Drosophila melanogaster: one gene and its partner. The protein of the gene in region 1 interacts with the protein of each later gene in a pairwise test. Each region holds a gene or a part of one and is shown in the gene's direction. Other genes may lie near its edges.

Evidence for each region.
Region 2: the proteins of CG32137 (region 1) and PGRP-LF interact in a two-hybrid assay, tested with the Drosophila melanogaster proteins (one large-scale study listed by BioGRID).

What each region holds. Positions count from the first base shown.
Region 1 is NT_037436.4:13,934,381-13,947,062, forward strand, and holds the start of CG32137 (uncharacterized protein), read left to right. Parts: upstream 1-4,869; 5' UTR 4,870-5,078; intron 5,079-6,289; 5' UTR 6,290-6,645; coding exon 6,646-7,095; intron 7,096-12,682. UniProt on the Drosophila melanogaster protein: Functions redundantly with BicD. Involved in formation and/or development of mechanosensory organs during metamorphosis.
Region 2 is NT_037436.4:9,347,908-9,351,989, forward strand, and holds PGRP-LF (peptidoglycan recognition protein LF), read left to right. Parts: upstream 1-1,701; 5' UTR 1,702-1,778; coding exon 1,779-1,917; intron 1,918-1,988; coding exon 1,989-2,140; intron 2,141-2,536; coding exon 2,537-2,921; intron 2,922-2,959; exon of another isoform or gene 2,960-2,980; coding exon 2,981-3,414; 3' UTR 3,415-3,582; downstream 3,583-4,082. Other genes in the region: PGRP-LC (peptidoglycan recognition protein LC), read left to right, coding at 1-268; UGP (UDP-glucose pyrophosphorylase), read right to left, coding at 3,836-3,943, 4,011-4,082.

The sequences.
Region 1 (12,682 bases):
CAACTGAGAAATTATAATTCTACACTTAATTTATGTTTTTTGTATAAAGATTATAAACCTATTGTAAAACTAACTTTGTGTTTAACTCCAACAAAGCCTGTTTCTGATACTAAACTCAAGCGAACTAATACCGGTATTATCTATGAAGTCTATAGCAGGGGAGAACTATGTGAAAGACATAACTAAACCAGAGAAACAAATCTAATTTGCATACGTGAGAATAAATAGTATATTATATATTAAAGGTAAATATATTTTGCTGATGTTGTATAACTCAAACTGAAGTGGCATTTTAATTGGGATTAGGGTAATTTATAATAAAAGTAAAATTGTTACTCTATTGGGCTAAAAAAAAACAGTTAATTAATGTTCTTAAAATATAGGTGAGGTTTAGTGGAATAAATATAATTAAAGAAGTAACAAACTACCTATACCTACAATTTCTAAAGTATTGCTAATCACTTCAAGATTTACAAATTTCCTTGCTAAGCAGAATGACATTCTCATTTCACATCGTTTTAGATAATTTCCCTAATTTAATTTAATCACAATTGGCCAAGCTCAGTTTAATTTTCTAGATTCAAGTGGAAGACGTTTAAGCCAAGCAAAGAACCATAAACAAGCATGCGATCCACTTAAAATCCACCAGCGAAAAGAGAGTTTCGTGCTCTTAACATTTAATTTTAAGAGAATTTGTATTTTTTGTAAGTTTCATTTCCGTTCGCTTGCTTGCCCAACAACAAGTACAAACGCAATATGCTTCAATGCCGCTCGGTTGCAGCAACAACAACGGTGCTAGCAGCAATGACAACAACAGCTGCAATAGCAAGAAACTATTACATTAGACCAGGCCATAAACCATGATGGCCAAAATAGCCACCTCCCCCCCTCCACCAACCTGCCACTGGGCAATCAGCAAACCCTTCTGCTTGAAATGTAAATTGAAAATAATTTTCATTTTCTGGCTTTTTCCTTGCCATCGCCACTGCCCCTTTGACTGACCGACCGGGCCAGAAATCGGTGCTTCTTTTGACCCCATTCTGTGGCTTGACCTCTCGAGCTTAGGTTTTCTCATGGGGCAGCAAGAAATGAATAGGAAAACATTTGCAATTACAAATAACCACATTCTCCATTTTAATTATTAAAATAATTTTTTATATAAATAGTTACCGCAAGCCCTTTTTTACATTTATGTTTTAGTTTAACCAGCGTAACCTATAGCTAAATGGAATATAAGAATCTAAAATGAAATTATACGTACATATATAGATCTTAATTATATTTTTTACAATTTTTTTAAAATGTGAAGACTTATTCTGTCTTATAAACATTTTGCTTTCCGCAGAAGATTACTCACATGTTTTTTTTTTAATTTTTATAAAAAAAGTAAATAACGTATTGCTACACACCAGTTTAAAACCGCCTGATATTTTCGAGCTAAAAAATAGTTATAAAAAACAGAATACTTTTTTGCTGTACATTTGTGGTGCGGCTTCTGATGTGTGTCGCCTTGGTTGCGGAGCCCATTTGACCAAAAAGTCATTCTCACGCCCAGCTTTCGGCCAGCATTTGACCTTTTTACGGTAGTTTGTTTATGGCCTGGCACTGGGTTTTGTAATACGGTTGCTGTTTACCTTTTCGGCCATAACACTTTTTTTTCTTTTTTTAAAGTGGGCTCGAGCGCAACAGGCGGCTTTAAGCCGGACTTCTCGCTCTGCTTGCAGCGACCGCCAAAGTGACAGATCCTTCACCAAATCACCAGAGTTCACCACTGTCACTGACACACATATCTGGTAACATACCTATTCTTCTCCAGCTCCAGTTCCAGTTCCACATCCAGTTTCAGTTCTTTTTGTCGCCGCAGAAACCAAAACTTTTGACCATAAAACGCCCGGTAATGCCCCAACTTGTTGCCGTTGACTCATGCCGAGCGCTAAAAACAACATAATTATTGTACATATTAAAGACTTGATGTATGTGCGCACCAAATTGTGGACTAAACGACATGTGGTATACCCTAAAAAAAAAACAGATTAATTCATTAGGAATTTACTCGTAATCATTATTCATATAACGTATGAAACGTAGAACGTATGCATGTTGTATAAACCAGAGATTCCTCTAATGGTATGATATATGATGGTATATATATGGTATATGATATATGTTTACTCCCTTATCGAACAGATATGTTAAAGCTATCAAACTGATAAGTATATTAAAACTGATAAATATTTCAAGGTGCATAAATCGATTGAATTGTTTATATTAGCCTAACTACGATGGCTTGACCAAAATCACTAATAATTAAATGAAATTATAAATTGATTAAATTCGAATACAGTTCTCGAGGTTTGTTTTTCATTCGCTGTAATCCTTCAAGTGTAACAAACTCCATGGCCAAGTGGAATTTCTATGTTATTTCTGATTTGCTTGGAAAAAAAAGTGACACCAACATGCCAGAAAAGTTAATCAACCTCCCATAAGAACAACGCAAAATAAAAAGAAGCAGAAGTAATTAAACAAAAAAAAAAAAACTGCGATACAATGCAGAGCAAGAGCAAGACCGAAACCAGTTTAGGTGGGCTAGGTGGCTATGCTATGGTACGGATCGGTATGGTAGCCGTGCCCCAAGATGGATGAATGGATGGCTGGAGTGCCGAGCTCAACAAGAGCGAGAGTGTAAGACAATAAGGCAGCTCAAGAACACTTGATTGCAGGTGAACTGCAGCATGGAAACCGGAGATGAACAGAGCCACGAAGAATTCCAACCAGATGCCCCACAAATGTTCAAAGGAAGACACGCCACTAACCCTTCCTCATTAGGCAGTGCGGCAAAGTTATAGTTATAGATCGATCTGCGCCGGAAGCACGGAAGTTTCACTCACTGGCCAGCGAAAATCAAGTAAAACACAAAAAAGTTAGTTACGCCTGGTTAGGCCATCATCCGAAAGCTCAATTTGGTAAATGGCCAAACAGTAGCCCATACAGTAGCCCAACATAAACAAGCGGCCACGCAACATCAACATTATGGATGGATCTGAAGGCGGAGACGGTGATGGTGATGGCGTTGGCCACCAAGAACAATGGTCTGGTGTCGGTCTGAAGCTCATCTTCATCTTCACTTGGCCCGGCCACTTGAGTGTCTTATTGTGCATGTTGTTTGAGAAGTTTGGCGCTGGGCGGTGAGGAGCCGGCATGACTCTGGTTTAGTACCACGCACTAGACGGTCTGACCATGTCTACGGCCCCCTCTTTAGAAATCTTCCTCACTTGGATGCACTGGAAACATTGGGGTCACATACTTGTACCTATTTTCATTTTCAAAAGCAGAATGTGCTAGAAGTATGATTATAGGGTATGTGATAGAATATTTCATTTTCATAACTGATTTTCAGTAATTAGTACTGATCTCTAAATAAATTTTAAAGATACATTTACTTTGAGCTGTATAATATATAGATTAAATTCAGATGTTAATGAAACAATTTGAATATTTTTTACAGCTTGTAATTACTTCCTTCCGGAGCACTTTAGCTTTTTAACATAGACCATGTCTACGGCCCCCTCTTTAGAAATCTTCCTCACTTGGATGCACTGGAAACATTGGGGTCACATACTTGTACCTATTTTCATTTTCAAAAGCAGAATGTGCTAGAAGTATGATTATAGGGTATGTGATAGAATATTTCATTTTCATAACTGATTTTCAGTAATTAGTACTGATCTCTAAATAAATTTTAAAGATACATTTACTTTGAGCTGTATAATATATAGATTAAATTCAGATGTTAATGAAACAATTTGAATATTTTTTACAGCTTGTAATTACTTCCTTCCGGAGCACTTTAGCTTTTTAACATAATTTCGATGCCTAGAGCAAAATGACCGCGAATCTAAAAATTTGAAGAAATAAAGTTCCTGCAAACATATACCCATTAATTGCTTAGTGTATACCCATTGTTATTGCCATTCTTGGGTGCCCATTGTTTGTGTTCTTGTCGTATGTAAATTTTGCATTGAAATGTGTACGCTTGGGTACATGTGTGTATGCACGTCGTGGTTTTTGGAGGTCCAGGTCTCTGGCCCTCCTCCCTTTTGGCCACGCTCCCCAGTGCCCCCCTGCCCCATTCGAAACGTCACTCCGTTTCATTATTGTTCACTTGGCCGCTTTCGTAAGTCGGGCCCAATGCAAAACAAACGGCGAAGAGCAGTCAAGAGAGTAGAGCCGAATCAACCATATGTCAGTTAAAAGGGAAGGAAGTCGGAGCAAAAGAGCGCCAAGTGAAGCTTACCTTTGGAGCTGTGTTTTGGTTTTACCAGGGTTGCCAGGTAAGAAGCGATTTCATGAAAAATTCATCCACAATGCTAAGGCTTAAATTATTTCCTTGTAGATTTTAGATCTACATTTTTAAAGTAAGATTACTGCAAAATCTCTGTCCAAAATAATCCAAGTAATCATGACATTTTATTTTTAGGTTTGGCTATCGAGATTTGCCTAATACGATATGCCTATCAGTAGCTGAACAGAAAACCAGTTTTCCAAATGTTTATTGACTTAAAGAAGATATCTTAGGCCATAAATAGTCTATTATCAGTTATCTGCGTCCTAAATTGCAATTTGCTATCTTAGTTGCTTTGTAACCAATAATATTACTCGACTGCGATTATCGCCCCTGCTTCGTTGCTATTATTCGACAACCCTGGTGGAACACTGGTAACTCTCTTTGTTAACCGCCACCTAAGAGAGCCAACCGATGTTGTTGGTTGTTGTTGCCAAGATACGAGGCTTAGCCAGTCGTTCGTCGTCGTCGTCGCTTGGTTACTCATTTGTTTTGCCAATTTTCGTAGCACGGCGGCCTCAGCGCCATTCAGTTAGTAACGAACGTTCGCGCCAGACACACGTATCCGCCACGCCCCCGCGAAGCCGCCCTCTGAAAAGCTGGGGAAAGCCAGAAAATCGTAACCGAAGCGAAGCGAGCGCGCGTTGTACGGCATCGGAGAATCCGAAAATCGGAGAATCGGACATCGGACATCGGAAGTTCTGCTTTGGAGTGGAGCAGCGTCGTCGTGACCGAGGTTTCTGCCCTCATACATATACGGATATAGTTAGCTATATATATATATATACAAATAGTTTAAAAGATATATAGGGCCAGACTGTAGCGCGCTTGCGAAAGTGGAAAGTATCTGCTGGATACTTTGGATACTTTCCGTTTTGGGGGAATTAATTAGACCAATATATCCCATGCAATCCGCGCGTTATTTTTGTTGTTTTGTCAATAATAATGCCAAACTCTGGCCAAAAACGGCATATATAAGCGGAAATGCAAAACAATAATACCAACAATTTGAGCCAAATCGGTTGTGTATTTGTGAACTGTGCTGTCTGTGCTGCTTCCAAAAAAAAAATCAAAATAAAACGAATAAAATAAAATAAACACAAAGCGCACATAAATAACAAAATAAGTGTTGGCTAAAAGCTTAGCCTGAAGCGTATTATACATTTTAACAACAGTTGCTGTTGCTACCAAAAGCAGCTAAGCGTGAAGTGCTTGCCAAATGAATTTTCTATATAACAAATGAAAACGGCTAAAAAATATATATAAGTTTAAAAAAACCGGACCAAATTTTAAACGAGATCTGTGGACTTTGAGAGATTCTAGCCACCTTCGTTTGGCTCTATTGTTGTGTTTAGTTGGCCGATAATGTTTTAAAAATCATTTAACATTAATTGTATATATATTTGGGTATTTCGAAATTTAAACCTAGAGCGGAGACTCATACTAAACTCATTGGTACATCCTCGCTAACTAAAGCAACCTCTGTAAATAAACTTTTAATACCCTTAAATTTAATGGAACTACTACTGAAGTTCTTTTTGGATAATCTGCCTTAACAGCCTTATAAATATCCACCCACCTGTATAAATCCACGCATGTCAATACGCCCCCCAATCCGCAAGAAACTTAAACCCTATTTGATATCCAAGCCGCATGAAGCTTAACTAAAGACTAACTTAACCCTCTTGCTTAACACTGTAGTTATATGTTATCCCCCCCCCCCTGCCCAAAACACCCCTGACCCTAGCAAAACCAAAAACCGAAAAAAAGCCCCAATAACAAGTAACTAAAAACGTGCTGGCAAACGCTCAACGTGACCGTCGCTCCTTTTGGCCAACGATTAGACCCGTCTTGGCGGGCATACATATATATATATACCACATTTAATGCTAATTCTCATTACGGCTGTGTACTTATACTTATATATCTAACCGAAATCAACTGCAGCTCAAACACATCAGTCGCTTTAACCACGGGTCTGCTCTCTTTTGGGAGCAGCTGGTGTCCATGGAACTATGCTCGGATATATCATCGTATCGCCGCGCCAGCTAATGCTAATCCTACGACCAGATCAGAGCCATCTGAACACCTAACCAACGATAAACCCAACTACCAAAATTGTGATCTCTGCATCGCACTAAAACCTAAACTGATATTAATTGCATCCAACTTACTGTGCGTGTGTGTGTGTGTGTTATGTCTGTAAATTTGGTTCGTTGCTATTATCCGTACCCGTAATATCACGTACACACCATACCACACCTACCCGCCTGAAATAAGTCCAAGCCTGCCCGCTAACGATCATGCATAAACCAAAGCTAGCGAATGCTATAACCGCTGCCGCCATTGCCTCATCCATATCCACCAAAAACAACAACAACAACAGCATCGTCGGCGGCAGCAGCAGCAGCAGCTCCGGTGGCAACAAATCGAAGCGACCACGTCAGTTTGGCCAATACTCGATCGGAGTTGGAACTGGAGCTGGAGCTGGGGGGCTACTCCGGTCGGACGACTCCGGCTTCGACCACCTCGACTATTCGTCACTAATTGGGGATTCGATTGATTTAGAGCACTACATCAGCGCCATGGAGGCACGTCGACACGACCAGGAGCCGGATGTTTGGGCCCAGCTGCAGCAGAAGGAGTCGGACATCCTATTGGCCGCCGAACTGGGCAAGGCACTGCTCGAGAAGAACGAGGAGCTGGTCAAACAGCAGGAAAAGCTCATCGAGGACTATTCGAGCAAAATTGAGGTGAGTCATGAAACACATATAAAGTTAACAGGTGGAATTGCCATTATAAATGGCAAACAATTGAAATGGAAGTCAGTTATTTGGGGGAAAGGAAAATTGGTTAGAATTAAAAGAAATTTAGGAAGAGGACATATAGCTTGGAAGGTACTTTAGTGACTTAAAAGATAGGCAATGCATATTATACTTTAATACACTTACAATTTAAAAGATCATAGAGATGATAGTTATGTATCTCTTGAATATGGTTAAGCAGCAATTTAAAGAATTGGGAAATGAAAAAATTAATTTTTGTTATGTTTTCTAAATGAATGGAAGAGATCTAAGCACTCTTTATTATTAGTTTAATGATATCTTGCTTATTGAGGGAATGCTTTCATGTTCTTTTATCTCTATTCTCTATCTGATTTACTAAAGTGTGAGCAATAAACAAAATAATCACTTTGCTTCTATCTCTATATTAGCTACCAATTGTGTGAAACCAACATTTGTAAATTCAGACCCATTTATTATTTTCCCTTTTTAAGCTCCCTACCTTTTCCTCTAATGATTTCTTGAACAATCTAATAGTTATCTCTAAATGCCGGCGCATTTATCAAATCGGCAACGGCAGTTATACCTGAGTACCAGAATTTTGATTGACTCACCTGATGATTTGCATTGATTATTGGCGGACATGTGTTCGTAAATGACCCCCTCTATTGACGCATTGCTGGCATTCCCAGGTCGGGAGAATTAAATAATACATATACAATATGGATTTTTTTCGAGAGCTGAAACACAGCACCTGTCCAATGCAGCTCTGTAAACTGAACACACAAACTCCCCAAACTGTCAACTGCAATTTATATTGTGGGGTGGGTTCTTTAACTATTTAGACAAACAAAAATGGTTACAGTCATGTCACTTTATGGACGATGACATACTGTGTGTGTGTGTGTGCGCAGTAAACTACTGAACTATATAGTGTATCACGTAAGGGTATCGATTTTTGTTCCATCACAAGTTCTACCCTACACATTTTGTATGAAATAGCTGAAGAGCTCTTCTGAAGTCTCTCTAAAAATTGGCTTTATCGAGCACTTTCCTGATAACATGGCAGGAAAAGCAAAGTCTGTTCACAACACCTCCAAATGTTTCCAAAGTCTATGTCTGCCGCCCGACCTTGAACCGCTCGAATGGGTGGTTTCTGTGTGGGTGGGTGCGGTTCGTTCGCCTGTCACCTGTTCACACACACGCACACACACACACACTACAGATACTTCCAGGTAACTGACAATAGAAGAAATAGAAGAAGATAGGTAAACATAAAACACCCGTTCCAGCAATCGCTCCAAGTGAAGTTCAAGCCGCGGCTCAAGTTCGTGGCCGTTCACATTAGCATATTGGTTGCCTCAAACTTAGTTACCTCGCTTTTCCATCCTGAACCGATAGTTAGGCTAATGTACTTTTGTTGACCGACCGGTAAACAACAATGTATTCTTATCAATTAGGCTTCAACGCCGATTAATGGCAATTCAATGCACGAAAAGAGAACAGGAAATGTGAGGATGGTTTGGGGACCACCTGATGGTGTGAGTAACCCAAACAGAGGACACAGCAATGCGTTGAACTTGAATAATTTCGTTGGTACATATTTTCCGTGGGTTTGGGCCATATTTACGTAGTTGGCTTAGTCACTTTAACTGGGTTTTGTATTCTCCTTTTTTTTTTTTTGCTTTTGTAGTTAAGCACGTTGAGTGACTTCATCTTCATTGAGAAATGAAAGTGCGAAGGCCAATTGCGGGGGGGCTAGTCGCGTAATATCCTGGATATTTAGTCAGATGATGTCATCGTGAAAATTTTGTACATATGTTCGAGTCTTTTTGAGTCATTTTTGATATGCAAAAACTTTTGTGCAATGAATTTTTTATTGAAAATCGAGAACAACTCCATTGCTTATTAAATTTATATGCCCTCATTGAGTTTAAAACCAAAATTATACAATATATATGTATACATTATACATTGTAAATATCAAACTAAGTTCAATAATAATAAAATGCTCTCTCTGTTCGAGTTTAGTTTTTACGTGTCTTCAAAGTCTGTGTTTTAATCCCGTAAAATTCCCATTAAAATAATAGTTTGCTTGCTCACCTCATGCATTCCATAACCATTAACAATTTAAATGAAAATCGCTTGGCACCCGAAAAAACCATTAAGTTTATTATAGAGCGCTCCAATTTAAAGCCGAAAAGTGAGAAATTCCCATGTTCCATTTTCCATTGGCCATTAAATGGAAATCGCTTTAGACTAATGAAATTGGGCCAGTCCAAAAAAAAAAGGTTAACACCTGACAGTTGAACAACGCCAATTGTCGCTTTAATTATTTGCTTGTTTCTTTTTTTAATAACAATTATTGCTTAGGGAATTCTGGCGTGGAGCTGCCGCATAAATCTCTTGAATTTTAGTCACCTTGACTTTACCTTTTAGTCTTTGTTTAGCAAAGTGACGTGAGCCACATTTTCGCTGGATTCACTTTTATTTGCGTGTTTTTGGCAATATGCAAAATGGCTGGTCGCGTATCTAATTAATTTCTTCAAAAAGTTATGGAGCGCACAATGTCACTTCGCTGCTTGGATGGATGAACCAGTGGTCAGCTAAACCAGGCCCATCCCATTCGTATACTATATAGTATTGTATACTATATGTGGTCGGTCTGCGATTGACTGACGTAATTAGACCGCTCGGTTGTAGGTGTTTTGGTTCTGACCAAAATGGCAGTAGTTTTGGTCGGACTTGTTGTTATTGCCGTGGTCCGAAGCTCGCCTATTTTATTTTATTTCGCGGTCTGTTGAAGCGTGTGTGCCAATTTACGAGCATTGGCTTTTATTTTTAGCCACGATTTGTTTTTGCATTAACTTTTATATGCGCCATAATATAATATGTATATGGTTCTATGCCCTATTCCCACATGCGAACCAGTTCAGAGGCCTTGGCTTGATTAGTGCTTATTTTAAGGGATTTTCGCCAGAGAATTGGTATTAGGATTACTTGGAAAGGTGGGAAATTTATACAGTTAAGATGTATTTATGGGTTTATTTTAACACTATACATATATGTAGTCTCACACTTTTCAACCTCTTCAATTTCGACCGTAACAGCTTTAACCTATAAATAGCTCGCTCGAAATCGGTCTTTTATTCTCAATATGTTCTCAGCCATATTTCATTTCGCTTACAATTTTTTCCAAGCCCACTTCATATTATCTAGTTCACAGACAATCGACCAAATAGTTGACCATTGTCTGACTACCAAAACGTGTTCGCTTCGCCCAGGTTCGATTGCAAGCCCAGTTTTTTTTTTTTTTAACTCCCGAGTCGAGGAGAACAATTGAGTGGAAATCAATTGGAATCTGGCATCCCATTGTAGCTCGCCTTAAGTCGCTCGTTTATCACGATCTGCAGACAATTGTTGCTATTACTGGTTAGGAAATTTAAGCCCAACTTGAACGACGACGAAGTGTTGCAAATGGCAGTCGAATGTAAAGTATATAATTTGAAACGTAGGCGTCTGTTACGATTTAGGCATTTAAATAACTCAAATCGGCTATCGGCTTAAACCCCTTTGGCCTTTTCGAAAGTCTACACCCCTGAGTTTTTTGTTCGCCCGGCTTTTATTGCTTTAATAACTTTTGCTGTTTGTTTTTTTTTTTATTTTTATATATTTCTGACATTGGCCAACTGGTTTCAGTAATTTATTTAAGAGCTCTTAGTAGAACGGCAACTCACAAACGTTCTCTGGCAATTTGTTCTTTGATCAATTATGATATTAAATTGAAACTTTCAGCCGTTTCCCCGATCAAAGAATGCTAATAAAAAGGTAATTTCATTTAAACGTTCTTTGATTAACCTTGATGATCGTAAACAGGATATGGTTAACCATAGAAAATGGAAGTGAAGATCTATGGTTTGTGGCTAATGAAAGGAAATTCTGCGGTATTCTTAAAGTCTTATTTACATACCATACTGTAGTTTCACTTAGAATGAGATGCGGAATCTATGATTGGAGAGATTTAATGCTAATTGATTAAAAACACTTCCTGAAGACACTGTAATTATTTATAATCCAATAAATGTAAATTTAAATATATATTTAAGTTGTAGAAAACCCAACAAGAAACCAAAAACTAAAGCGAAATCTCCAGTGAATGCACATTTCCTTGTGTAACTTTAATAAACCTCAACAATTAAAGTTATATTTATATTAATTTCTCTGCCAATCCAAATGATTCATGCAAATGAACGTATCTTCCGCCTTTCGATCGAATCACACACCCACAATGCCCATCGCTTCACTCAAATGAACTGACCATACCAGGTGGGCGGACTTCTCGAGGCGCCCAAGAATACATAATGGCCATAATGGTTACCTCTCAATCGAAGGCACCTCTGCTGGACGCCTACTTCATCTATGGTTAGATAACCAAACGCGTTCTAGCAATAAATAAAGAAAAGTGCGACCAGGGAACCCAAAAATAAAACTTAATCAAAATGAAACTCTTCTCACGTTCGTGGATCAACCATTTTTCTTTTTTTGGACTGAGATGAAGTCATCATCAACACATTGTCGAGTGCTGCTGTTATTGTTGTACTATTTTTTTGCAAAAAAAAATTCAAAATCAACCAATTTGCATGCGAATAATACGGGTTTATATAGCCAGACATATATACATATATATATATCGCCGCGTGTCCATCTCATTTGCTGAAAACCAGTTTGATCGATCTTCGAAACAACAACGAAAAGTGTTGATTTTTTGTAATCTTCTTTGATGAGTCACAAAGCGATTTTGAGACCGAGTGGAGCTCATTTACCTGCTAAGCATTTCTTCGAGTACCCCCAAGTTAACTCCCAGTTCACCAGTTTTTGGCCTCGTTTGCCGAACAGGTATGCAAATTTATACGTTAACAAACAAATGGTGTGCCTTAATTTTGGTTTGGCCGAAATGTTTTCAGATTTAAGGTGGACAAAATGCTGGGCTCTGCTCATGAATGGGGGTGTACGATCTGGGGTTGGACCCCCTTTTTGCTGGGAAATTGAGGTCGTTCGACATAGTGTAGCACGATTATTATTGGACATTAGTCGCCAGCGTCACCCTATTCGCATTCGCATTGGCTCTTGGCCAGTAATAGCATTTCTTTGGCCATGTTGTGTGGATGGATGGATGGATGGATGGGTCGGCAAAATGTCATGGTGAGTGCTTTGTTTTCTACGCCACCTTTTTGCCCAGGGAAATTACTTTCCTTATTGGTCAGGCCATAAGCATTTTCCTTCCACCTTCTTCGTTTCGCTTTTTGTGTCATCAGGGAAACATGAGTTTTTAATGCGGATTTTCCGAGACCATCTGACTTTGTATTTAGCCTCATCAGCTTGTAATGAGCTTTATAGAAAGTATAAAAAAACGAAACTGTAACAAGCGGGGCTTGAACTGCTACATTACAGGGTTTCCAAGAATATTAGATGCATATGCATATAGTGCATTTTATTATTGGCTTTCGAGTTAGTTAACAAATTTATTTATTTATTGCATGTTATGTAACTTCATGTT
Region 2 (4,082 bases), 4.6 Mb from region 1:
GGGCTGGAATAAAATGGGTGCCCACATGAACAATATAAACTATGACTCGCAGAGTCTTAGCTTCGCCTATATCGGATCGTTTAAGACCATCCAGCCGTCGGCCAAGCAACTAAGTGTTACTCGTCTTTTGCTGGAGCGTGGCGTAAAGCTGGGCAAGATTGCACCAAGCTACCGATTTACGGCGAGCAGTAAATTGATGCCAAGTGTAACCGATTTTAAGGCGGATGCGCTCTACGCAAGCTTCGCCAACTGGACTCATTGGTCGTGAATAGGTTAAGAGCTATTTCGATATTTTGCAATACTATCATTTATTTTCGTATTGATTTTGTATCATAGGTGTTCTCCCATTAATGTGTGGCATATTCGATTTAGCTAGAGTAACGATTCGTTTAAAAAGAAAATGTGATATTAAATAAAACAAAATGATTTACTTGATGAATTTCAATCATGTATGGGGATCAAGAACTAGCTGATAACTGGAATCGGGGAATTTCTGTAGAGGTGCTGTCTGGAACTGCCTGAAACCGGAAAAGTTGTAATATGGCTTGGCTTTTCTACGCATTCTTCCACCTGCGAGTTATGGGGCTTCCCCGATTATTGGAATTTTTAATTTCTTTCGCGACTATCTTAAAATTATTATATTATTATATTATAATTATTATTTTATACGGAGGTTAGTTTGCCTGGAGGTTGTTTTATCCGGACGTTAGTTTGCCTGCGGTTGTTTTATCCGGAGGTTTATTTATCCGGGAATCATTTTATCCGTTTTTATCCGGAGGTTAGGTTGCCTGGGGTTGTTTTATCCAGAGGTTAGTTTGCCAGGGGCTTAGCTTTCCTGGGCGTTACTTTATCGGGGGTTATTTTATCCGGAGGCTCGTTTGTTAGGGGGTTTGACTGGGGGAGTGTATTACCTGGAGGTTCATTTAACCCGAGGTTAGTTTGGCTTGGGGTTATTTCATCTGAAGGTTAGATCGTCTAGTGGTTATTATAGCAGGAGGTAAGTTTGCCTGGGGGTTTTTGTGGCTGGGTTTTGTTTTACCAGACATTTACTATCCGGAGGTTAGTTGGTCTGGAGTTCAGTTTGGCTGGGATATCTTATATCTGGCAAATATTTTATCCGGAGGTTGTATAGGCTCCATTTTACCTAAGTTTTAGTTTGTCTGTTAAAGAAATGTTTGCTAAATTCGCTTTCTTTTTCTACTTATCACGATCTATCTGCGTTCTATTTATGACAAAATAAAAACAGAATAATAATCGTGAAGAACTCTTTTTGGGTCAGTTGATCAAATCGCAGCCGCTAACTGTAGTCGGTCACTCATTCCAAGAAACCGGAAAACATCATAACTTCGGTCCAAAGATGAGCTAGCTTCTTTCAAAAACGCTAAGAGTAAGTATACGCCCCCTTGACAAAATGGGATTCCCATTTCTTGGACTGCTCACTACCATCAAATATCTCTTTCTAATCTCAAGTGGGCGGCGTTCAGAGATCGCGCACCCTGTTGCAAAAATGGCACCCTATATTAAGCTTTAAAAAGCTTTCTTTAGTTATACATACATATATTTATTTATAGGTATGAATATCTCTTATCAACAAGCTTATGAACTGCGCAGTCGCTTTAGGTTTTCAAATGTCCGGGGATTTTTCGGAGCCGTCAACAGAAATAAACAACAACCGGACTTGAGATCGGGTGCGTACTCACTTCAGTTGGCATCGGACGTTCGTCGTGCGAGGATCGATCGCGGTTGTGGGTAGTGCGATATAGTGAAAACATCTCAAGATGCCGAAAACAGTGGTAGTTACTCACCCAGGAAAACCGATAAATAACGAGAAAAGATTTCGCTTCGAGCTTCTCTATTTCTGTGTGATTCTTCTAATGGTTGTGGGTTTAGCAGCTGGCTATTTCATGTGGATGATGTGTGAGTCATTAAAGCGAATCGTAGATTGAATACAATTTAATAACCAATAACCAATTGTTAACCTGGTTTAGCCTTCTCCACACATTCGCCGAACAAGGGCCTACACATACTCGATCGCAGCGAATGGCTGGGGGAACCACCCAGTGGGAAGTACCCGCACCTTAAGCTTCCCGTCTCCAATATTATCATTCATCACACGGCAACCGAAGGATGCGAACAAGAGGTAAGTCTTACTTTGGGAATTTTAAATTGTTAATATCAAAGTGATATAGAATTGCTTTAAAGCTAACTTGAAACCAGTTTGTTTTACTTAGCTTACTGCGGCAATTACTTAGGATTCATGAAAAGGCTTTATTGTAACCAGTTGTTCTTTTCTTATCTACAAAAATTTATATAAATAATCAACCCAAAACTTTTCCTAGAAAGCCTCGTAAAACCGATATTATAATTCAATAGCTTGCCATAAAAAAAAACCCCCGCTTTGAGTCTATAGATCGACATACTTTTCGGTAAAAAACCCCCATTCTTCAGCACTATTTCGAGTTAATTAAACTTTTCTAAAAGTTAGCGGTTAAAAGACTGTTTACTTATGCATAAATCTTATTTCTATCTCGCCCAGGATGTTTGCATATACCGCATGAAGACCATTCAGGCGTTCCATATGAAATCTTTTGGTTGGGTCGACATTGGCTATAACTTTTTGGTGGGCGGCGATGGTCAAATATACGTAGGACGCGGCTGGCACATCCAGGGTCAGCATGTGAATGGATATGGTGCCATCTCCGTTAGCATAGCCTTTATCGGAACTTTTGTGAATATGGAGCCACCAGCTCGACAAATCGAAGCAGCCAAGCGACTGATGGACGAGGGCGTACGTCTCCATAGATTGCAACCGGATTATCATATATATGCCCATCGACAATTAAGCCCCACCGAAAGTCCTGGCCAGAAGCTTTTCGAGCTGATGCAAAATTGGCCCCGATTCACGCAGGATCCAACATCATGTAATGCAGTTGAAAGAAAAAAATACGAGAATATATTTATTTTCAAAATTTATTTTCAGTGCGACTCCTAAGCAATGAGACTGTAAAGATCGTTACCCGACCCTATTGGTTGGCCCAGCCACCTATAGTGCCACTTACTCCTTTGAAGCTGCCAATTGAGAGCGTGAGATTTGTGGCAACCAACACGCCATCATGTTTCACTCAAGCCGAGTGCACTTTTCGAGTGCGCCTTCTGCAAAATTGGCACATCGAGAGCAATGGATATAAGGATATTAACTATAATTTCGTTGCGGCTGGGGACGAAAACATCTACGAGGCCAGAGGTTGGGATCACAGCTGTGAACCTCCAAAAGATGCAGATGAACTAGTCGTGGCCTTTATTGGTCCATCGAGTAGCAATAAAAAGATAGCATTAGAACTAATCAAACAGGGCATAAAACTTGGTCATATAAGCAAGAACTATAGTCTAATTGACGATTTAGAAAAGTCATAGAAAACTGAAAGCAAGGGGAATGAAACTTGGCTAGTGCCATTCCTGTGCCATTTTTCAAAGTGATATTAATTTAAGACCTAATGTTAAGCATCACAAATATCTCACATCCAATAGGTGACAATCTCCTTCGTATTTATAGAAATAAACATGCCTTTATTGAGTTTCAACAGCTGCTATCTTTTATATCTCATTTGAACGACTACAACTAACATTTTTGAAAACATATTGCAATTCGATTTTGATTAAAAACCCTGACTGATTTCTACTTAACGATATATACAGATGACACACTTTGTGCTTACAACAATTGGCTAAATGAAATTCGTTATTGGAAATTTGAAACGCGAACATGGCTACTACATAAAACTTAGACAATTAGACTACAGTTAGTGAGACGATATCCAATTGTACAGGATTTGATTTAGTGGTCCAAGATGCGCATATTGCCAGATACAATCTTGTTCTCCAGAATGGCTCCAGCTGGGATATCGATACGATCGCCATGGTTAGCAATGATGATCACAGTGCCCTGCAGAATCAAGTTAAGACATGTTATTAGCGTATTTAAAATACCATTCAATATTATTCAAACTTACGCGCAAAGAAACGCCACGACCGAAAGTCACATCTCCGCTCACGGTCAAGTGATCCAGCTCAATGATGTCCGG